Alligator mississippiensis: one gene and its partners. The main gene of each other region encodes a partner of the protein of the gene in region 3 in a complex. Links are inferred from orthologs where the notes say so. Each region holds a gene or a part of one and is shown on either strand. Other genes may lie near its edges.

Region 1 (7,212 bases), about 38 Mb from region 3:
ATGACTTAAATACATTGCTTGACGTCGAACATCTTCAGAGTCAATTTCCACAGGATTTATTAGAGCCAGCTGATCAATAGACCACCTAAATTTTCCTGGGGTCTAAGAAAAGAAGGAAGAGCATAGTGTTTACTATTCCAAGCAAAAGGAAACAAAACCCACAGATCTTTAAAAGGAACGGCACTTTCATTACCTCACTAAGATGGCAGCAATTGTTTCAATCAGTGAAAGCTAGATATTTAAACAACAAAAAAGGAGAAAGTGACTACTTACATTTTAATAATTTTATTTTTAATAACCAGTACCAATACCATAGGAAGTGAAACAACAAAGTCTATCTACTATTTTGCATTAACTGATGCTTTCCATTATCGAAGCTCTTAACAAATATGTCTCAGAGAACTACTATGAGAATACCACTATGCCCCTTTCACAGATGAGTAATGGAGATGGAAGTGGTAAATGATGTATCTAAGGGTCAGATCCGGTTCAGAAATTAGGTCCCTAAATTCAAAACTGAGATCCAGAAATACCTGTTCAGCTGCCATCTAGCCCTGTAGGAGCCTGAAGTCATTGGTGCCTAGAAAATTTTAAAGTCAAGAAGTATGTCACCTAGAGCTACATCTCCACATGTGGCACAAGATGATTCCTGTCTGAACAACTAGGGCCAAAATCATACCAAAGACCAGCTAAAATTCAAAACCTAGAAAGTCCCCTACCTAAGTCCCCTGATAGACATGAACTGTGTCTTCAGAGCACACCTAACATGCATCCGTATACAAGGCTTCATTCATACAAAAATGCAGTTATGGCTGCTTTCTTTTTAAAAAGGGAAAGAAGGTGCTAGTGGTGTCCATCTTATGTGATAGCCCAGTAGCTACAGACCTCACCAGAGACCCAGATTCAAACCTACATCAACTACCTCCCTATGGAGTTATTCAGGTAACCACTGGACTCTGCATGTTCTGTGGTAGAGACACTTCCCATCCTCCGTGTTGAAACTAGGCCACTGTATAGAAGAGAGTTCAAGCCTTAAACAAGGCCAGATAAAGCATGGAGTAGGGGGCATTATGACTATTGAGTTTAAACTTACACCCAGCCTACTTGAATCAAAATGTTGGAACAAGTGTTACTGCAGACAGCATTTCTCTAAAGAAAACCTAGCTAACCAGTATTGTTCATCTTTAACTCAACAATACTATTAGAATAGTGTCATGTACAACTAGCTGGGTTTTCTTAAAATCACTAAAACTGCAGTAACATCAAGACTTTCAAAACAGTTACACAGCACTACAAACAAACCAACCATAGTAATACTGTAAGTTTCCACAGAAGGAACTATGTTTAAATTCTTGTAAAAATATTTCAAGTTGTATTACAAATCATGTGTACTTTACGAAGTGTGAAAAATGTGTATGTGGAAGTATTGCTATTTCTTCCATATTCATGTACTAAGGATTAAATCTTACCGATGAGGCTTTCGTTGATTTAAAGACAGAAGGACTGGAAACCACGTGTTCCTGCAGACTATGGTAATCACTTGGACTTTCAAAAGGGTTCAGAACAGCAACCCGTCCTGGAGTTTCCGGTGTTATATGCATTTTAGCTTCTTTTCTATCACCCATAACACAGTACAATACCTAGAAGGAAAATAAGAAGTTATAATTTTAGATCATTCAGTACCCCATGGTTTTGCAGTAAGAAACGATCGTTTCGAGAAACATTAGCAATTCAAAATCTAGTCAGACTGAAGAGAGTACAAGAAGTTTAAATTTGGTCAGTTTTCTGATCGGTTTCAGATAAATCAGAGAAAGAGAATTAGGCCCCTGCTACATGAGACATATGTTATGCAACTAACTGGTTAATTGTGCAATAAGTGTAGACCAGCTACATGTGCAAGGTAGTTATCATGCAATTAACTGGTTAACTGCTCAATAAATTTAGGCCAGCTACAAGTACACTGTAATTATCACAGGATAATGACTCTATACCTGGTTTCTATACCTGGTTTTAATTTGAAGGTGAACCTCAGTGAATCCATCATTCAGATGCCATTTTCATTGACCCAGTACAGACCCCAAAAAAGGTTTACTAGATAAGATAGCTAAATATGCCCCAGGATATTTTGAAGAGCATCTCAACAGACATGTGGGGATTGCATCACTGGATCAATGCCAGAAAAGCAGCCATGCGTTCAGCCACTAACTAAACTCCAACTGGAAGGGCAACATGTACACGGCTATCACATGACTTTTCTGTTCCAGGACAATTACCTGCACAATTGGTCCCAGGACATACAAGATGCCTGTTCATACCCTAAGCGTGATCCTATTCCACCCAGTTTGAATTCCTGGCCAATCATCCAAACCCATACATCTTGCTTTGTAACTGCACTGATCTTAACCTTAAGACTCCATCACAAAAAAGTAGCAACAAGGAGGTGGAGAAGGATCCAATACGGTTTTAAGTTTTCCTGGGGCTTTCACAGTGGAAGAGAACCACGCCTAGGGACTGTTGAAACAGACGGAACAGCATCTGGCCTCAAGTGTCTGAAGAAACCTCTTTACTGAAAGGCTGTATATGGAAAGCATAACGGTATACAGGTACCACTCAAAACCATGCTTCTCCCAGAGAAGACAGAACCTTTTCTTGGATAAAACCTGCATCCTCCACCCCCCTCCCACCCACAAAAATGAGTTCAGGGAAAATGGGATGTGCATTATATGCAATAAATACTGATCCTCAAGACAAGTCAGTCCAGAGGCTGCTGCGACCATTGGGGTACCTCAGACCCTGTAACAACCCTCCTCCGCTCCACGCTGTGTTTGACTAGCTTTGTGCACTCTTGTCAGTTGAAGCCCCGCCCAGCCCTTGATACCGATTCCCCCAGGTCTGGAAATTTTGTGGGGGAAAGCAGTGGCTGCATTAACTAGAGTCCCAAGCCAGATGACACAGCCCTAGCATCGACTGGAGCCAGCACACAGGATTAGAGAGCAGCTTTAGCCCCGTTACCACAGACAGGGGTTGAATCCAATGAGTGCCCTTTAACCCACCACACCAGATTGGGCAGATGAGAAATATCTGGACTGGGCACATGGCCCCAGCACTGCCTTAGTTGTATGCTTATCCCGGAAAGTAAGAACTTTTTCTTCTCCCTTCAAGCTGGCCAAGAAAGTCAAGTGACACATGATGCACAGGGCCTGTGGCAGGCTAAAAAAAAGCCACACTATTGCCACTGAAACTTTATTTTTAGGAAATTAAGTGAAATATGCAACCAAACCTGGAGGGGCAGTGGGGGAGGAAAGGAGGGGGAGGGAGGGAGAAGGGACGAGGGACCCCGAGGCTCTTTCCTTCCTCCAGCTTTGCATCCGCAGAGCCCCTCGATGCGCCACTTCTGGCCTGTTCTGCGCATGCGCGGTCGTAGGGTCAGCACCTCTCAGAACCCCGATTCTCTCCTAATCCCGGCCCGCTCTGTGCATGCGCAAAGACAATATCCCCCCCCCCCCCCAAGGAAATAATCAGCCTAGGGGGGATGGGGGCTCTAGCCCGCACTAGCCCAGGAAGGCCTGTGTAGAGGGAGAGGGAAAAAAAAGATGACCCAAAAATTGAGCGATACCTGCCTCCGCCCGCGGATCCCTGTGAAACCGCCTCTGCCTGACCCCAGGCAGCTCTTTAACTGGCCCGGCCCCCACGCTCCGCCGCTACCCAATCATCGAGCGCCGCCTCACCTGCCTGACCAATCGCGTGGCAACCGCTCTCAAACAGCCCAATCGGCGCAGGGCTCGCTTCACAAATTCGAACGAGTAACCCTCCTCACGGAGGAGTAGGTGGGGTGTATTTGAAACATCATAGCGGGCCGGGCAGGGACGGAAATAGCTCCTGAGGTGTAACTGCATGCGCCGGCGAGAGGTGGGATTTTTGGGGGGGGAGAGTTGTTTTGTTTTGGGGTTTTTTTAGTTTTGTTGTTTTATATAAAAATAAATTATATTTTATCTTTTCCTCCTAACAAGGAAATATAATATATTTTCATAGAAAATATAATATATATTATATGAATAAATATATACAATTGAATGTATGTTTTATGTATTTCCCTGTTAAGAGGGGCTTCCGCTTCCGGGTTTGTGCTTCCGGGTGGCGGGTTAGGCGCACGCTGTCTGTCACCATGGCGAGTAACGCGGCCAACTTGAACGCTGTGCGGGAGACCATGGACGGTGAGTTGGGCGCGGGCGCTCGCTGCGGCGCCCGTTGGATCCACTCGTATTTGGCGTCCGAAGCGTCCGGAGCTGGACCGGCCTCAGCAGGGGTTTGCGGCAGCAGGAGGAGCAGCTCTGTTCCTTCCCCCGAGGAAACGAGCGCCGCCCTGGTTTCCCCCCCGCGCTCTCCCTCCCCGCGCGGTGGGCCTGCAGACTTTCCTCCCGTGCTTGATTTGTGCGAAAGAAATACGAGCACGGGTCAAGACGAGAACAGCCCCGCCGTTAGATGCCCAGGAGCAGTTTAGTGTTCAGCGACAGATTTCCAAAACACTGATGGGGGTAGGAGGGAAGGGCAGAGGCCAGTAACGAGTTCTCCAAGGGGCCCCTTGGCCCCCGTGTGATCCCATGGAGTGAGCCCGCAGCACTGCCCAGAGGCTGACGTGGATGAAACAAGCCTATTGGACACCCACGGTGGTGTCCTAGGCCTTGAGTCCTGGAGCAAGGGTTAGCCACTGCTAACGCAAGAGGGGTATTAGGTAGGTACCAGCTAATTACAAAGCGGGAATGGAAGTGAAGGTCAGAGGGTCATAGCTAGGGATCCTGGTTTTCTCTGATTTAAAAAGTATAAAATCTAATTTTCAGATTAAAGCAGTAACTCAAAATCCACATGTTCCTGTGGTTAAAATGAAAAGCCACTAATATATAGATATGTATCTGTAGCTTGACCAAATCCACTAGATATTAGTGGCGCTTCATTTTAATTGTGGAAAAATGTGGATTTTGGGTTACTTTTGTCTTAAACTGAAAATTGAGAATTTTTTTAATCGGAGAAAACCAGGATCTCTGTTCACAACAAATGCACCAAGAGGGGGCTGTGAGCACAGGACACTGGACAGTGCCCACTGGCCCTTGAACAAGGTGGATGAGAGGCAGGAGGATGACCTTGCAATCACTGGGGGTCCTCTGGGCCAGAACCTTCTTCCTGGTCAGGCAGATGGATGCCGGGTAAGATGGAAGTATGTAATTGACCCAGTAACTGACAGGTCTTATGAAGTGCTGTGACTCCATCACCAGGAGGCAGGAATGAGCCCACTATATCTGGACTTTTTTCTTCAGGGTCCAAATGGTGAGGGACTTGTGGCTAGGGGCATTTGCCTTTTCTGCTTTCCCTTCTGTAAACCCAAGTGCAGTGGTGCAAAGTCTGCCATGGGCTTGCCTCATTTGGGGTGGTCTGGGGGAATGGAGGGGGGGAAAGTGCTTAGATTTGCACTTTTGACTTCCTAGGGCCTGGGGAAGTATAATGAGGGGCCACAGTGGAGTAGGGAGTGCAGATTCAGCTGGTTGTTGGATAGCTTTGGTTGAACGAGCAGTGCAAAAGAGCTCAGTGATGAAAATGCCAACACAAGGGGAGACATGTCAGAGGTAATAGAGTTTGGGAGAAAGAGGTTGATGCAATGAGGAGTTAATGGAGGACTGACCAAACTGGTGTCATGGAACATTTTGTATCCACATCTAATATCACAGTGAACTGGTTCAAAAGGTACCTGGAAAATCAAGCACCACTTTTGACCTGTTCCAGGCAGCCTTATACTGTTATAACAGGCCTGTACACCTGTCTGTCTCAGATTCAAACTACATTTACACTAATCTGAGTATTCCTGGAGTCCAGACCCTGAATTTTTCTGTTCATTGTTCTGTTAAACAATGTAAATAAGCTCTTTCCACTATGTAATCAAGGTAGTGATTTTCTGTAGCTTGATCAAATCAAGTATGCTGGGTGAGCTTGAGATATTGTCTCTTTATAACTATTTTGTTTTTCAGAATCGGGTCCTATTTTGTTTTTTGCAGCACAACTTTATTGTGCCCATTTCAGTTAGTTACAAGTCGGTTTTTTTCTTTTATTTTTGTGACCAGGCACAAATGGGGCAGAATGAGGTTCACCCTTCAGTACCCAGTCTTTGTCTAGAGAATTCTTCTAATCTCTCTCTAGACATAGTGAAATAGTGGGATAATTAGATACAATAATAATGGAACCTGAAGGTACTTTAAAAAAATTGAGTAAAAATAGATGTTAGTGTTGCTCTGATGTTGTTTTTTTTTTCCTGTCAGCAGTAAGAGTTACAGGAAAATGGCTGAAGAATTTTTAGGTTCATCAACTGTGTCCATTAGTAATTTTCACATATGGAAACTGGATAGGCCTATTGAAAAGACCTTTGTAAACAATAGTTTAGGGAAGAGCTCACAATGGTGGTATAAAATATGAGAGAGAGATTGCTAAATATTCTTTCCTTCAAACTTGTTAATTAGTTTAAGAGTTAAATTTCTTGTTTGAGGGGAATAAGAAGCAACACTTCACATTTACTTGAATGAATGGGTGGCAACAGAGGGTTTCAAACACTAGTTGGGAACATAGGTCTAGAAGGGTTGATCATGTTCCATGCCCTAATATCAAAATTGATGATGTCATACAGTCACTTTCATAAACTGCCTAAGCTCCATTTTAAACCTAGTAAGAACTTCATACCCATTACTGCTGTTGGAAGGCTGTTCCAGAGCTATTTAGTTTTCATGGTTGGAGATTTTCCTCTAAATTTCCAACCTAACATTTTATTATACTTCCAGTTTCTATTCATTGGTTCTTGATTCAATGGTTATCTGATTCAACTTCTATTTTAATGTTTTACTGTTCTCAAGAAACCAAAGACACTTACTGAGTAAGAACAAATCATAAATTGAAGTACCACTTTCCTGAGCTGGGTTCCAGCGGCACTGTCAACGTGGTTCTGGAAGTCAGAGATTACCACCACTCAGCCCTTGCCTGCTCCCTGCACACATCTTTGTCTGCTAGGGAATTCTGGGTTACCATTGGCAACTGAGGTTCATGGCAGAGAGAAAATGGAGGGCAGTGCAGGGAAGGTGAGCAACAGCAGAATTCACCTTCTGGGTTCCCGAGCTGTAACAAGCCATTGCCCTTCTGCCAGAGGTGGATTGTCTGGGCAGCCAGAAGCCTTGAATT
Region 2 (7,127 bases), on a different chromosome or scaffold from region 3:
GATTTTATTTTACTTACACCGAAGATGGTCGCGGTGCAGGCAGGAAAACTTGCTTGAGTTATAGTTACAGATAGAAAAGAAGAGAGGCGGACAAGAGTTCCTTCCCGTGAACATTCTTTTAGCCCATCCGGTTGGAGGCTCTAAACCGCGAGCCCGTCGCGCCAACCGAAGAAAGTACTCGAAGCAAAGAGCTTTGAATAGACTCGCACGAAGTTTGCTAGGCTCCGTGGAACTTGCGCGCAGGGAAGGGTACGTCAAGGGATCAAGCGGCGACGGGGAGAGGTGAGAGGCTGATCAGACCCCTGTTGCCTTCTTGATATTCACACTGGGTCCAATAGGCTCCACAGCTCTTAGAGATCTTCACGAGACATGAAGTCTCCTCCTCCTGATGTTCGTGGAGTCCTCCAACTTGGGCGGAAACCACTCAAGCCTCTTATATGGCTAGCAAGCCAATCGCTAGCCGCCGCGTGTGTATAATTTAATGCAAGCCAATAACCGGGCTTGAATTAGAATACAAATGGCGGGAACTCCTTGCAACGTGCATTTCTGTGCTGCAAAGAAGAAATGCACCCTGCAAAGAAAGCTCCAAATGGCGGGAAAATAATTCAGTGGTGCCAAAGCGCACACAAACAAAAATCACACCCTTGGGTTGTGACACAACCTACACCCTCAATCACTATAATAAATTCTAAATACCAGTAAATTTTGGCTTTTGATTTTAGGTTTTTTAACATGGCAAATCAGAGCTCCCCTGGCCCCCTTTGCTCACCAGGACGTGAGTCCAGCTGTTTTATCTCCCCCACTGCTTTGTGGTGCTGAGAAGCCCTGGTATGCCAGTGCCCTGCCCATGCCATTGCCCCTCTCCAAAGCCACAGCCCCCAGCCCTGCTAGTGCCCCTCACTCCCAACCCACAGCCCCCTGGTCCTGCTGGTGCCCCTCACTACCCAACCACGGCACGGCCCCCTGGCCCTGCCAGTGCCCCTCACTCCCAATCCACAGCGCCCCATCTCCACTGATGCCCTTCGCTCTGCACCCAGATTCCCCTGCTCCCCAACCCTGCTGGAAGGGGCCCCCAGCTGCCAGGGCTACAGGGCCCAAACCCCAAATGCTGCCCATGGGAGGTTGCAGCTGTCGTGAAGGGGGGCATGGACCCTGGGTCCCCCCACAGTGGCACAACCTGAGCAGAGCCTGTCAGGGGAGTGGATGTGGTCTGTGGGCTTGGGCTCCCCGCAGGCTGCAGAGGCCCTGGGGCCTCTGCAACCCAGCAGGCAAGGCCCACCACAACAGGGCAGAATGGGGCTGGGCAGGGAGGCTCGTTGCTGCTGCTGGGAGCTCTACGCCACCAGTGAGGTGCTCCCTGCCTACCCGTCAGCAGCAAGGGGCACAACTCTGCACCTCCACCCTCACCACTGACTGGTGGGCAGTGGGCTCCTCGCTATGGTGGTGCGGGGCTCATGGCAGTGACAATGAGCTTTCCCACCCCACTTTGCTGCACTGGGTTTTGCCCCCTGGGCTGCAAAGGCCTTGGGAGCAGGGCAGGGAGCCTGAGCCTGCAGTGGGCAGCCTGCACTTGCCCTACCCTGTGCACAAATCTGGGACACATGCCCCCCAGGGCCCCCCTGGGAGTGCATACAGCAGCGGGGATCCAGGCCCGCCCCCCCGGATGAGTTGCCCATGGCTTTGTCCCGCTTCCCAGTCAGGCCCTATGGCTGTGTATTCCAGCCCCGGGCCTCAAGCCCCATGCATGGCCCAGGCTGAGCAGCAGCCCCAGCCCTGCATGACTCCTCTGTCCCTCATTATGAGGGCTTTAATACATGCCCCCCCCCCTCCCCCTGCCACTAGACTTACCTGTGGGAGCTGCTCTCCAGGCTGCCTGGCAGCCATGTGCATGTGTATGCATGCACATGCACACGGCACCCCCTGCCTCACCGCCCGCCTCCCCCCAGCCCCTTGCAGGCTGGAACTCTGCCACCCTGTAAGGAGAAACCCACTGTTTCCCATGTTTTTTCCTTTAAAGGAGAACATCGGGTTTTTTTGCAAAATGAGATTACTGCGTTTTTCCATGGCAAACGGAAAACCCGGATCCATGTTGATGACTATGCACTGAACACAACAATTCAAGCAATTATGTATCTATCTTACAGTACTTTCATTTAGTCTGCATTTCCTTAGCTTAGTAATGAGAATGGCATAGGAGACAATATCAAAAAGCCTCACTAAAATCTAATTCTGAAGCAAAGTCTGTGTGTGTGGATTCAGGGTCATTTAAAAATAATGATAATTTGGCAACCTAAGATAATATTGATGTGTTAATTATATTACATACTGCATGTTATTTTCCATTGTAGCATGTCTTGGTTCTGTTGTCAAGACTAAGTACAACCTTTGACTTAATATATCTTCCTTTAGAAACACAACAGTGCGAAACACTGCTCCTATATGTGCTGCAAATATTCTATAGGTAGAGAACTTCATTTTCCTGGGCTTTCAGAACAACCTTTTTCCTGACCATAAAGAATACATGCAATACATTTTTAAAAAGAGGGTTCTTTTATAAAAATAAGAAGCCTAGTGATCCTGTGCAACTGTAATACGCACTAATTTAGCTAAATAAAATTCCAACAAATGGGAATTAGTTTGTTGTTTGCAAACATGCCAGGTATGTTTTGGCAGAGTGCACCTGCTGTGCTGTTAAATGTGCCTCTTGACCTTGCATTCTACCGTTTTCAGTGGCATGTTAATGAGCAGGCGCGCCTACACAACAGGAAACCATCCTCTACCAGAGCAGTGCTTTTTGACTGGTCTTGGCAGAGAATTAATCCTAGGTACAGAATTAGGCATGTGTCTCTTGTTGCTTTTAAATACATGCCCCGTTAAGTATGGCATTTACTATATGAATCCCCCTGCTGTACCCATCATCCTTCTGACAATGCTATGAATCATGTAAACAGTTGATATCTAGCTCATATTGAAATACAAATACTTCTAAAAGCACTTTAAACCCAGGGGCTTTATGTTCTTCTCTCTTCACTCCACTGGCTGACACTGGAAAATGAACAGGACATTAAACATTAAATGCAAGGAACAATTTAAAACAAGGCACATCACTACTAGAACAATATAATTTGTTCCAGCCATTGTAAAGATCGTTATTTATTTTTGTAATTGGAACATTAATATTTGATCATGATAAAGCAGCACGAATAAAGCTAATATTTGAAAATCTATTAATGTTACTTGTATTGTTAAATAGCTCTTTTCTCATTTTGATAGTATTGAAGTTAAGGTGATCTTTTCAAGAGCACTAAAAACAGCCTAAACCCCATTGAAAGTAAGTGGGACTTAAGCTTCTGTAAGCTTTGGAGTTTTTGGTTGTAGCCGTGTTGGTCTACGGACACAGGCAGACAAGTTCTTTGGGTAAATGTGAGATCTTTTATTAGACCAACTAAATAGGGAGTTTTTTTAGATGTTGAACGTTGAAAACAAAGTGTATACATAAGACTACAAAAGACTAGTCATAATCTTTCTTGATATTAATGGTTATGGACTTTGATACTCTGAGTACTACTTTAAATAGCAATAATCTTTTTTACATGTCTTCTGCCTATGGCTATACAAGTAAAAACCTTTCTGGTTGACATTAGATAGATACACAACTGGCTGAATAGCTACAAACTATATTAACAGATCCATTCCTGACTGGCAGGTCTGAAATGGGCTGTTTAACGATATACTCTGGCTCTGGTGAGGTTCACCATGGCTGCTAATGACCTGGAAGCATGGATGGAGGTGACGGGTAGAGCCTGAATCAGAAGGGGTGGCAAACCTTTCGAAGAGTGGGATTAAAATTCAAAGCGATTTTGCTAACTTGTAGAATCGGGGTAGAAAGGAAAGAAAGCGAGACCCGAGGGGGGTGGGGTTAGGTCGCGGGCGCGTCGCGCGGCAGTGACGCCATCAGAGCGCTACCGCGCGCGGGGCTGCAGCCCCTCCGAATGGGAGAGGGTCGTGACGACAGTCAGGCGCGCCGGCGCAGTGACGTCATCGCCCGGCGCGGGGCGGCAGGTCCCCGAGGCCACGGCGCCGAGGGCCCTGCGCAGCGGGAGGTGAGGGCGGCGGCATGGCCATGGAGAGCTTCCCGCGGCTGCTGGCGGAGCTGTGCGAGGCGCACCTGGCCGCCTGCTCTTGGGAGGCGCGGCTGGGCGGGCGCGCCGTGGGCAAGCGCGCGGCCAAGCGGCGCCTTCAGCGGGCGGCCTACAACGGACTCTTTCTCTGCCTCGGCCTGTTCCAGGATGAGGCCCGGAAGCCGCCGCCCCCCTGCTCCCGGCTCCCCGTGAAGAACAAGGTCCTGATGCTGTCCTTCAACCTGCGCGTGGGTGGGCTGGGCGCCCAGGCCGACCGGCTGGAGGCGCTGGTGGAGGGGCTGGAAACAGCGGGCGCCTTGCCCTTTGCCGAGGTGAACTCCATCCTGGACCTCCTCGTGCAGCTCGCGGGGACGGGCCCTCCCCAGCTGCTACCCCCCAAGAAGGACTATTTCCTCAACAACAAGTACGTTGGGAGAAACGTCAAGTACCAGGGTTACGACTACTACGATGTCAGCGTGTTCGAAGCTGACATTCAGTCACTCATCGCCAGCGAAGAGTGTCAGTTCCACGACACCATTCAAAAGACTCTTCAGATCATGGAGGCGGCGCCTGGCACAGGGCTTCCTGCCATCGGGTTGTTTTCGCAGAGCTACCCTGCCGGCGACAAGTTTGAAAAGGAAACGCGCGTCTCGCTCTTTGGTGCTCTCGTCCATAGCCGTACATATGATATGGACATCAAGCTGGATTTGCCGCCGGTACCTGACAATGCAGATTTGTCTGGTCTTGCAATTAAAGTACGCAGCTAAAGCATTTCTTTTCACACAAACGTACATTAGTTCAGCGTGTATGAGTGGTTCCAATATACCTTCTCAAAACAATCTTTAATAAATATAAGCTTTCCTTGTAGCAGTATAAATGTTACAGAGATGTATATTTAAAGCATCTGCTTACATCTTTCTCTGCAAAATATTTCATTTTTTTGGTTGGCTATCGCTGTGCCCCCTTCCACCCCTCCCGGGCGGGGGGGGGGGGCCATGGCGTGGTCATGGGCTCACTTGCAGCTCCCTACACTGTCCCTGTGTCCTGGGGCAAAGGCTGGAAGTGACAGCTGGAGGTGGGAGGCTGAAGCCTGGAGACTCCAGCTGCTCTTGCAGCTATAGTGATGGGAGGAGCCACAGCCAGGTGGGAGCCTGGGGACTGCATTGACCCCTCACAACTTGCATGTTCTGGAACATTACAGATTATTGGCCATTTACAATGTCTGAACTGAGAATATGCTCCTAGGCAGAGTGAAATAATTCTCATTTAGTTGTATTGGTAGTTTGGTTTAACAGTTATACTCTTAACTTTTGTAGGCACAGATATATTATCATGAATTGATGTGGATTTTGTTATTTATGTTGCAGATATCAGTTTCATTTTCTGTAACTGAATCTGAAACGACTCACTTTTAGGGGATTTCCATTAGTCATTAATAGAATCACAAGAGGAAAAAACAGTTGATGGTATCAAATCATTTTATTGCAAATGAGAGTAGACTTCCTTTGTATTAACATATGTTACTCAATTAATGCAGCATACATGTTTGCAGTAGTCAAATTATCATGATTGTTTGCAGGTTCCACAAAGCATAGACCAGTCTGAAGATGAGGGGTTCCAGTCAGCATCCAATTTGACTCCTGATTCTCAGTCAGAACCAAGCATGACTCCAGACATAGACCTTTGGGATGCAGTGCTTACATATGGACCCAGCAAACGAAGGTGCTGGGAAAGAATTGGATAGTAAGTATCTGATCTTATGCATGCAGTTATCACACAACTTACTTGTGTATGTGTTTTAGTTGGGAGTTATTTTACTTAACATAAGTAAGAAATATGTCATCTGTTTAGGAACACAGATTTCAATACACTGCATAACAAATGTGACAGGATGAGTCCTACATTTTCAATAAACTGCCTTTCAAAGATGGCAGCTAAACTTTTTGTAATGAGAGTAGCAAAACAGGGGAAATTAATTTTTGTCGGAAGTGCTGAAAAGGAGATGTCTATGGTTTATGTCTAAAATAATCATTGTTTGCTTCTAACTGAAAAAGTTAAAGTCAGAGAATGATAGGAAAATAGGGCTGGAAAGCATGTTAGGAAGTCATGTAGTCCAACCCTCTGCTCATGGCTGCATCACTCCTATCTAAATCAGGAAAGCCAAGGCTGCGACAGAACTCCAGCTAGCTACAAATATCAAGGACAATAAAAAGTCCTTTTTTAGATATGTGGGGAGTCAGAGGAAAAGCAAGGGCAACATTGGACCCCTGCTAAATCAGATGGGACAACTGACAACTGATTCAGGAAAAAACAAACTTGCTAAATGAGTACTTTTCATCATTTTTTCACCAGTCCCATGGGACGCCCCTGCCCACTGCGGGACAGGGAGACCCTGGTGAAGGAGATTCCTTACCCTCCATCAAAGCTGACCTTGTGAAGGAACACCTTGACAGGCTGGATACCTTCAAGTAAGCCAGCCCTGATGATTTACACCCAAGGGTACTCAAGGAGCTGGCATGCATCATAGCTCAGCCCCTGGCATGGATCTTTGAGAACTGGTGCTCTGGTGAAGTGCCCGAAGATTGGAGAAAGCCCATGTTGTGCCTATCTACAAGAAAGGGAGGAAAGTAGATCCGGCAAACTACAGGCCCATCGGCCTGACCTCTATCCTGGGGAAGGTCTTGGGAAAGATTATCAAAGAGGCCATCCTTAACAGACCAGCTGACAGAAATATTCTGAGGGATACCCAGCATGGGTTTGTTGCGGGTAGGTCTTGCTTGACCAATCTCATTTCCTTTTATGACCAGGTGACCTATCACCTGGACAAGGGGAAAGAGATTGATGTCATATATCTCGACTTTAAAAAAGCCTTCGATCTGGTATCCCATGATCACCTCTTGGCAAAACTGGCTAACTGCGGCCTTGACCTCAATCCTCTGGCGGGGGAATTGGCTCTGTGGTAGGACCCAGAGGGTGATGGATGATGGAAGTCAGTCGTCGTGGTGC
Region 3 (7,808 bases):
AATCCAGGCTGACCTTGACAGACTCAGGAAATGGGTGGACAAGAATCTGATGGTGTTTAACACTGAAAAATGCAAGGTTCTCCACCTTGGGAGGAAAAACCTGCAGCATGTCTATAGGTTCGGCAGTGCTACACTGACTAGCACTACAGATGAGAGAGACTTGGGGGTCAGGATTGACCACAAGATGAACATGAGCCTTCAATGTGATGCTGCAGCTAGTAAAGCAAGCAAAACCTTGGCTTGCATCCATAGATGCTTCTTAAGCAAATCCCAGGACGTCATTCTCCCATTGTACTTGGCCTTGGTGAGGCTGCAGCTGGAGTACTGCGTCCAGTTTTGGGCTCCACAATTCAAACAGGATGTGGAGAAGCTTGAGAGAGTCCAGAGGAGAGCCACACACATGATCAGAGGTCAGGAAAACAGACCTTCTGATGAAAGGCTGAGAGCTATGGGACTCTTCAGCCTGGAAAAGCGCAGGCTCAGGGGCCATCTGATGGTCACCTATAAGTTTATAAGGGGTGTTCACGAGGATCTGGGGGAACATTTGTTCACCAGAATGCCCCAAGAGATGACAAGGTTGAATGGTTATAAACTCCTGCAAGACCATTTCAGGCTGGACATAAGGAAGAACTTGTTTACTGTCCGAGCCCCCAGGGTCTGGAATAGCCTGCCGCCGGAGGTGGTTCAAGCACCTACTTTGAACGCCTTCAAGAGAAACCTGGATGTTTTTCTTGCTGGGATCCTATGACCCCAGCTTGTTGCCCTGTGGGGTCAGGCCATATCTCAGGATCTCAACATTGTGCTGTTACACAGGAGGGTGTGACACAATTGCACATATACAAACACACAAATCAATTAAGTGCATACACACACACATACACACTACCAGCTCAGGCACATACACATCCAAACCAGCCTAGGCACATGCATACTTATCACCAAGTCAAGCACATACACACTAAAATTAGACAAAAATCAATTGTCAATACCCACACACTCAGTACATATACACTGATCTCCTATGGGAGGGCCTGTCCAGGCAATGTCAGTCCTGTTCCAGAGGGTTCTAGGTGTTCTTATTGAGCATGTGCAGCCTTGGCACAATGGTGGGTTGCCTCATCTTTTGTTTCTTGAATGCTGAGGGTGGTTCCAATGGCTGGGTCATTGGTCCAGGTATTGGTGTTGATGGTTTGGTCATTTAGAGGGAGCTATTTTTAAACCTACTGTCATTGTCTCTCAAGCACCCTCATTTAGGAACCAAGTTACATAGAAGGGGTAGGTGTGAGTCATAGGTTACACAACCAGGCCTGGGGACAGGATGGAGACTTGACAAACAAAATGGAAATTTGACATGACTTATGCTAACTTACAAATGTAGGCCTAAATCATATAGTACCAGTAAAACAGTAATATAGATCAGTAAAAATCAATATAAACATAATAATTATACAATATAAATAAGGAGAGAAAACAAAACAAATACAACTTTCTCCCAAAATAAAATGCTGAAGCTTATCCTATGTCTTAGCTCACTTTTACTTATCTATAGAGAATAGAGAGGGAGAGACAGAGTCAGAAATGGTTGGGGAAAGGGGAGACAATGCATTTAAAAAAAAAAAAATTGGGAGTTTTGCTACAAGCTGACTTCCTGCCCCTGGGGCAGGGGGCTGGACTCGATGATCTTCCAAGGTCCCCTCCAGCCCTAATGTCTATGAAATCTTGCCTCTGTTGAAACGTGTATAAAAGCAGTCATGCAGACAGACCTTCCTTGTTATGTCTGCATGCTGCCTAACTTGGATCCCTGATTGGGTCCTCTAGATGTACTTTAATAATACAAAAAACTTACAACATCAACTCCTTTAAGCAAGTAAATGCCAAATGTTTGGTTATCCATGTAACATATTCTACCCTCTTGTGCATCTAACTTATGCCTTCTGGAAAAAATAGCATGTGATCATGTAATTAAAAATTATGTGAATAAATATGCCAAGGAGAACATACTAAGTTGCACAAGTGACTATAACAGTGGTACTTCTTGACTTTGACCTAAATAATTTTCTTTTAATGTTATATAATTAAAACTAAAGATAATTTCCTATTTTTAAAGGGAAAAAAGTAAAAATGAATTTTGTTATGAAAACTTGTAACATCTCAACATATGGATCATTATCAGGGACTGGACTCTGAACCTTCTGTAGCATTGCACTGTCTCACTATTAGCTGGTAGCTATCCTGGAGCAAAAATAAAAGTAAGGGTACTACTGGTACCATGTGCTAACTTCAGGAATTGGTTACAGGAGTTAGTCAGGGCTCTCTCTTATCTGCTTGCCTCTTTCTGAAGCCTAATGTTGGGGGACCTTTTGCTCTTCTGAGAGGAGAGAACAGATTGTGGAGCCTGTGTACCACACTTACTGTGTCAGCAAGGAAGGCCTATTCCAGACCAGTTTCCTACCACTGCTACAGTGAGTACTACTGCATTGATGATCTGGGCGTAACCTTTTGTTCATAATATTGAGATTCAATTATTATTTTCCCCCAGGAATACGGCTGTAAAATGGCAGGGCATTTTGTGCCCCAAAGCTTGTCCAACATCTGTGCCTACTATATATTTGGCCAAATAAAGATATCACAAAACCCCCTTCCCTCTCGCTGGACCATTATGGCTACAACTACACTCCAACACTACTACAATTTTTAATAGTTTTATAACTTAACTAAACCTACATAAAATTCAAGAGACTTTTCATGGAAATAAGGAAATGTATTTCTCTTTCTTGAGGATTATCCCATGCTGAATTTCAATGGCCTGCTGCCAAGTGTGGAGGTATTAAAAAATAAGTCACAAGAATCTTTCACAGTGAAAAGTATTAGACAACCTAAATAAAAAAATTGCTAGTAGCTCTTCAGTTAAGACTGCTCCTTTGGGTAAGGGTTTTGAGGTTGAGCTACTAGTTTGTTTAACCATTGATGCACACAAGTCATACTTTTAAATGTATAAATGTGTTACCTCCTTGTCAATGGGTGTTACATGTCCCATGTCTGTATTCTGTCCACAAAGGATGTAGGTATGTTACAGTCCTCAGCTAGGAAGCCTGACTCCTTAGCTGTAGTAGAAACTCATGCTTTTAGGGCCCTGGTATGTTGGCCAAGCCCCTCTGTGGCAAGAAACCTTGTAGTGGTGGAGAGGCTTGCGTGCCCCAGTGAGCCTCAGAGCGATATTGTCTGAAGTCTCACGCTGCTGGCAGTCACCCATGGCAAACAGGCTTGAGGGGAGATCCCAGACACACTACCGTCCAACCCCTAGTCCTCAATGACAGAGCAGATAGAAGATGTTAGGATCTCAGCAGCTGTAAAGGCGGAAGAAGACTGCAGCAAGAGGGAGTTCTCCTGTTGTCTACAGTTCTCCCTTGTTATTGGGTCTGGATTGCCACCTTGTCAAGATTGTATGGGTGCTATTTCCATGTTCCAGCTTCCCCACATTAAAGTCACCCACAGGCCATGTGTTGGTCAAGGTGGTGGCTATCACAGTCCACTGCGTGATGATGAAAGATCCTATTGTATCTTCTCCTGGGGTCTCTTTCTCTTCCCTGCAACTGCCATCCCATTCCATCCAGCCTGACCCCTGAAACAGAGGTAACACTGCCACATTGTAGCAGCAACAGCTGGTGGCTTAGTGGTTGGCCCATATCACAAAAGACAGCAGGAAGGATCTCCTGGGACTCAAGCAGAGCAGAAGGGTTGCATTTAGGTGCTGAAGCACTGGAGAGGGGGCATAAGAGGTGGACCCAAGTCTCCCTGGCACTGCTCTCCTTCATATTGCTCTTATTATAGGCCCTGAAAACCTCCCATAAGAGAGTGTGTATCTGGAGGTAGAAGCTGGTGCAGGAGGCCATTTCTGCAGCCTGGCTCCTTGTTTAGTGTGGGGAAAAGGTTTATTGGTGGGAGGTATTGGTGGGAGCACAGCTATCCCTAGGGGTGTGCAGGACCTGGGGCATATCAGCCCGTGCGGGGCCAGGGGATAGCCAACGGCAGAGCATGGAGCCGGAGGGGTGTAGGGGTGGCACACAGCTGCAGTGCAAAGCCGGTGGTGTACAGCGGGGGCTGTACGGCACTGTCCGCTGGGCCCCCCCAAAGCGCAGGACTTGGGGCAATTGTCCTGATTCACCCAGCCGAGGAACGGCCCTGGGTGGGAGGAACAACTCAGAGACACTCTCATGGACCCAGAGGGCCAGGATTTCCCTGTCCAGCTCCTTCTGTGCAAAAAATAAAGATGATTTCCTACCTCCGGGGACTTTTTAACATCTTTAATTTTTCCAATGCCTGATGAAGGGCCTTTGAGCCCGAAAGCTTGTAGAAAATGGGGCGGGGGGCTGTTGTTGCGATTTCCCAGTTGGTCTAATAAAAGGTATCGTTTCTGAACCACGACTTGTAGATTTCTGCATTCCCTTGGCGGGCGGCGGCGCGGAGGACACGAGGCTGGGGCCACCTCGGGCGCTTCTCGCAAGGAGCCGCAGCGGGAAGCGCGCCGGCCCGAGCCGGGCCGGGGCGTGAGCGGGGCGCGGAGGGACCCCGGCCCGGCCCTGAGGGCAGGTGAGGGCTGGCTGGCGGGGGCCCGCTGGGGGGGCGGAACCTCCGACGCGGGTGCGCGCGGCGCGGGGGAAGGCGTTTGGGGCTGCGCGCAGGGGCATTGTGGGCGCTCGCTGCTTTGGGCGGGCCGTGTTAAAATGGCGCCCTAGGTAACGGGCGGCGGCGGGGTGTGAGGTGTTGTGCTTACACGCGTGGGGGCAGTCGCTGGTGCGGCGAGGATGGCGGGGCCGGATCAGAAGTCGCCCAACGTCCTGCTGCAAAACCTCTGCTGTCGCATCCTGGGCAAGAGCGAGGGTAACGGCTGTCCCCCTTCCCCCGCGCGGATCCTGCCACGCTCTGCCTTCGTGAGCCGGACAAGCCCCTTGCACCGTGGGGAGGGTGGACAGTGCCCCCGGGCAGTGGGCTGAGCTTGCCCGTGACCCTGGGCCCTTGCGGGGGTGGCCGGGCCTTGTTGGAGGCTCTGCCCTGCCGGGAGGGTGAGAGAGGGCGGTAGCACAGCACAGGTGCGGGTCCCCCCTGCACAAGCCGGGCCTGCAGGGTTCTCTTGCTCCTGCTACGTGCAGGCAGCCGGGTGGGCCCAGGGCAGAGTGGGAAGTGTTTGTTTGTTTTTTGCCTGGGGAAGGCCCTGCCCTGCTTTTCTCTCCTACCGTGTGCAGGGGTAGGCTGGGTACCCCCTTGCACACACCTGCCCTTGGCTGGCTCCTGCAGGGGAAGGGCACTTGCCAGCTCTGGGGCAGCTCTGCACTGCCTTCAGGCTCTGAGCAGCAGCAGAATGAAACCAGCCGCCAGGTTCCACCCGGTGGGTGCCCTGGGCGAGGCTGCTGGGCTGTTAATAAGTTGTCTGTGACTGGAGATGCTTTGTCCATCTTTCCTCCTCCCTCCTGCCTTTGCCTGGGGGACTTCAGCCAAAATCACTTGTTTGCTGCCGGGGTGGTACCCTGATGATACAACCTTACCTGAGCGGAGAGGAATCTGCGTGCACCCATCTCAACAGATAGGATGTTTGCTGTATTACCTCCCCTGTGTTTCTGGAGGCATCATTCTTCCTAGGTTTGTTATATGAGATCCTGACCTGCTCTGGTTGACTTCTTCGTTAGCTTGCTCTGACTAAAGGGTGATGCCCAAAGGGTTACGCTCGTTGATAGTTATGTGCGGTCTGAAAGGGGCTTATGCACATACTTGTGCTTGTGTGTGCACTGGTGGCATTTTTTAAGTTGCTGTACTTTCTTTAAGTACTGGGAATGTCAGGTGTCACCTAGCGTAATTTTTGCTTGGAGGGTTTTTGAGAGAAGTCTAGGAGAAGTTTGAATTTTCTCACCTTCGCTGAAGTGTTGAGAATGAGGGATAAAGATGTATTTAAAAACAAACAAACCCCAAAACAAAACATAAGACCAACCCCCTCCCTCTCCCTCTTCACAAAATAAAAATGATCAACAGGTTTTCCTGAAGATTCTGTCCAACTTAAAGGGTCATTTGTAAATCTTTTGAAGCATCATAACTGCCATGCTTCTGGAGTTGCCATGGTGTTTTTCCTAGATGAATGAAACGCATGTTTCTAATTAATGTGTTTGAAAACTAAGAATCCCTCTGAAGATTTTTGTCCAAAAAGTGTTAAGCCCTTATGTGTGAGGTCTTTGTTAGTCAGTTTTACATGTGTCCTTTGCAGGCCAGTTTTCTTCTCCATAGTTCATCTGCAGCAGGATATGAGTAACCACCACTGCTTTCGGTTTGGAGATATTTGGATATCCTTTATGGAAGAATAAGGTCCCAGAACTACATATGTAAATTGCTTATAATTTGATTAAAATAAAGTTGATATTTCAGTTGATAACAGTATGTTTCCTAAATATAAACTGGATATTGCATATCATTTATGCAATAAACTTTTCTATTTAGAGCTGATTCTGAAAATAGCATTTGAAATTTTAAGGCAATGGCAATATGAAGTTCTAAGTGCCGTTGCGTCTGTTTTCAGAGCTGTTGCTCTGTGGCACTCTGTGTTTAGATTTTTACTTTCCCAGCTAAATCCTTGAATGTGTGTATGTTGGTTTGTGTGCTTTATTTTTAAGAACACTTCTAGTCTGAGCACTTTTAGCTTACTGCTGTGGAGGAGGCACAACATAATTCCCTTTTACCAATTAAAATGGAAAAGAAGGGAAGTATTTCAGTCGAGGTTGAAGTCCTGGGAACAGGGTTGGGTTGTATTGCCAAATTCTGAAGTTTGTCAGAGAATAAAAAGGATGGTCTCTTCTCTTTACTTTTCAAAATTGATACTAGTATTTTGGAAATGTTGGTCACAGTTCCACCACCCCTCCTCCCCCAGGCACCCTAGCTCTATTTTCTGTTTGTTGGTCTCAGCCTTTGGGGGAAAATAATCTTTTTTTATTTATTTTTTTTGGTCATTGTTTGTGAATGGGTACACTTAAACCAGGATGCAAGAGTTTTGTAGATGTTGATAGGGTACTTTAATCTTGTGTACATTTATTTCTAGTTAATTATACTGAGGAGGGGAGCTCAGGTTTGCCCCTGCAGCTCCTGACCCCTCAGGAAAGGGCCTATAAGAATGAAGACTTCCAAACAATGGTCTCCCTCAACAAAATGTTGTGGGCACTGTAGCCTTTGGACAACTTTCCATTTAAAAATGGTACTTTTTGCAAATGACAGACCTACTGGAACTCCCTAGAACTGAGGGAAAATGCTCTTTGGGATTTGTGGGGGGGCGGGCGTCGGTTAAGCATTTCTGTTAGCTCTTCCTTATGTGAGACTTGGGAGGCACATGCACCTAAATACAACTAGAAAATAGCCAGGCACAAATCTTTAGCTTGTACCTCAAAACTCTTCAGGTTTTATTTGTTTGGATCAATATTAAACTGAAGCAGATAAAACACTTTAAGCACAGGAAGGGTAGGATATGTGTGCATACTTAAGAGCTGTTTAGATAAGGCTTCTGCACTCATTTAGTAATGTGGACATATTTGTTTGCAAAGCGGATATAGCTAGCTCATGAAAAAGACCCAGATATGATTTGACTATAATGTCAAAGTGCGTCCATAGGAAAATATTGAGTTGTGCCTAATGTGGCAGGGTCAGGTATAATAAGGACCAGTGTCTGGAAGCTGAAGCTAGAGGCATTGGAATTAGGAATTGCACACACATTTTTAGCAGGGTAATTAAGAACTGGCACAAACTATCGAGAGAAGTATTGAATTCTCAATTTCTTG

Evidence for each region. The genes of interacting proteins can lie anywhere in the genome.
Region 1: the proteins of TUBGCP3 (region 3) and MZT1 are in contact, whole or in part, in a cryo-EM structure (PDB 7QJD), measured with the Homo sapiens proteins. The link is inferred for Alligator mississippiensis from reciprocal best matches to the Homo sapiens genes TUBGCP3 and MZT1. Residues at the interface, in NP_006313.1 of Homo sapiens: Lys7, Pro9, Leu12, Leu13, Asn15, Leu16, Cys17, Arg19, Ile20, Leu21, Arg23, Val28, Gln31, Tyr34, Ala35, Val38, Ile39, Asn42, Phe43, Ala44, Pro45, Thr46, Ile58, Leu62, Arg67, Asp70, Phe74, Leu77, Lys80, Leu81; in NP_001065243.1 of Homo sapiens: Asn17, Ala20, Val21, Glu23, Thr24, Val27, Leu28, Glu30, Ile31, Ser32, Arg33, Ile34, Leu35, Asn36, Thr37, Leu39, Asp40, Glu42, Thr43, Ile46, Cys47, Val48, Arg49, Leu50, Cys51, Glu52, Gln53, Gly54, Ile55, Asn56.
Region 2: the proteins of TUBGCP3 (region 3) and TUBGCP6 are in contact, whole or in part, in a cryo-EM structure (PDB 6X0U), measured with the Homo sapiens proteins. The link is inferred for Alligator mississippiensis from reciprocal best matches to the Homo sapiens genes TUBGCP3 and TUBGCP6. Residues at the interface, in NP_006313.1 of Homo sapiens: Pro9, Asn10, Val11, Leu13, Gln14, Glu25, Ala26, Ala29, Gln30, Phe32, Gln33, Val36, Arg37, Ile39, Gly40, Ser41, Phe43, Thr129; in NP_065194.3 of Homo sapiens: Pro65, Arg67, Asn68, Leu71, Met72, Ser74, Phe75, Asp76, Arg78, Asp87, Glu90, Asp151.

What each region holds. Positions count from the first base shown.
Region 1 is NC_081824.1:390,150,845-390,158,056, forward strand, and holds the start of MZT1 (mitotic-spindle organizing protein 1), read left to right. Parts: upstream 1-4,122; 5' UTR 4,123-4,165; coding exon 4,166-4,214; intron 4,215-7,212. Other genes in the region: BORA (protein aurora borealis), read right to left, coding at 1-102, 1,470-1,625. UniProt on the Homo sapiens protein: Required for the recruitment and the assembly of the gamma-tubulin ring complex (gTuRC) at the centrosome.
Region 2 is NC_081827.1:39,907,533-39,914,659, reverse strand, and holds the start of TUBGCP6 (gamma-tubulin complex component 6), read left to right. Parts: upstream 1-4,037; 5' UTR 4,038-4,117; coding exon 4,118-4,876; intron 4,877-5,700; coding exon 5,701-5,864; intron 5,865-7,127. UniProt on the Homo sapiens protein: Component of the gamma-tubulin ring complex (gTuRC) which mediates microtubule nucleation.
Region 3 is NC_081824.1:352,502,193-352,510,000, forward strand, and holds the start of TUBGCP3 (gamma-tubulin complex component 3), read left to right. Parts: upstream 1-4,705; 5' UTR 4,706-4,805; coding exon 4,806-4,881; intron 4,882-7,808. UniProt on the Homo sapiens protein: Component of the gamma-tubulin ring complex (gTuRC) which mediates microtubule nucleation.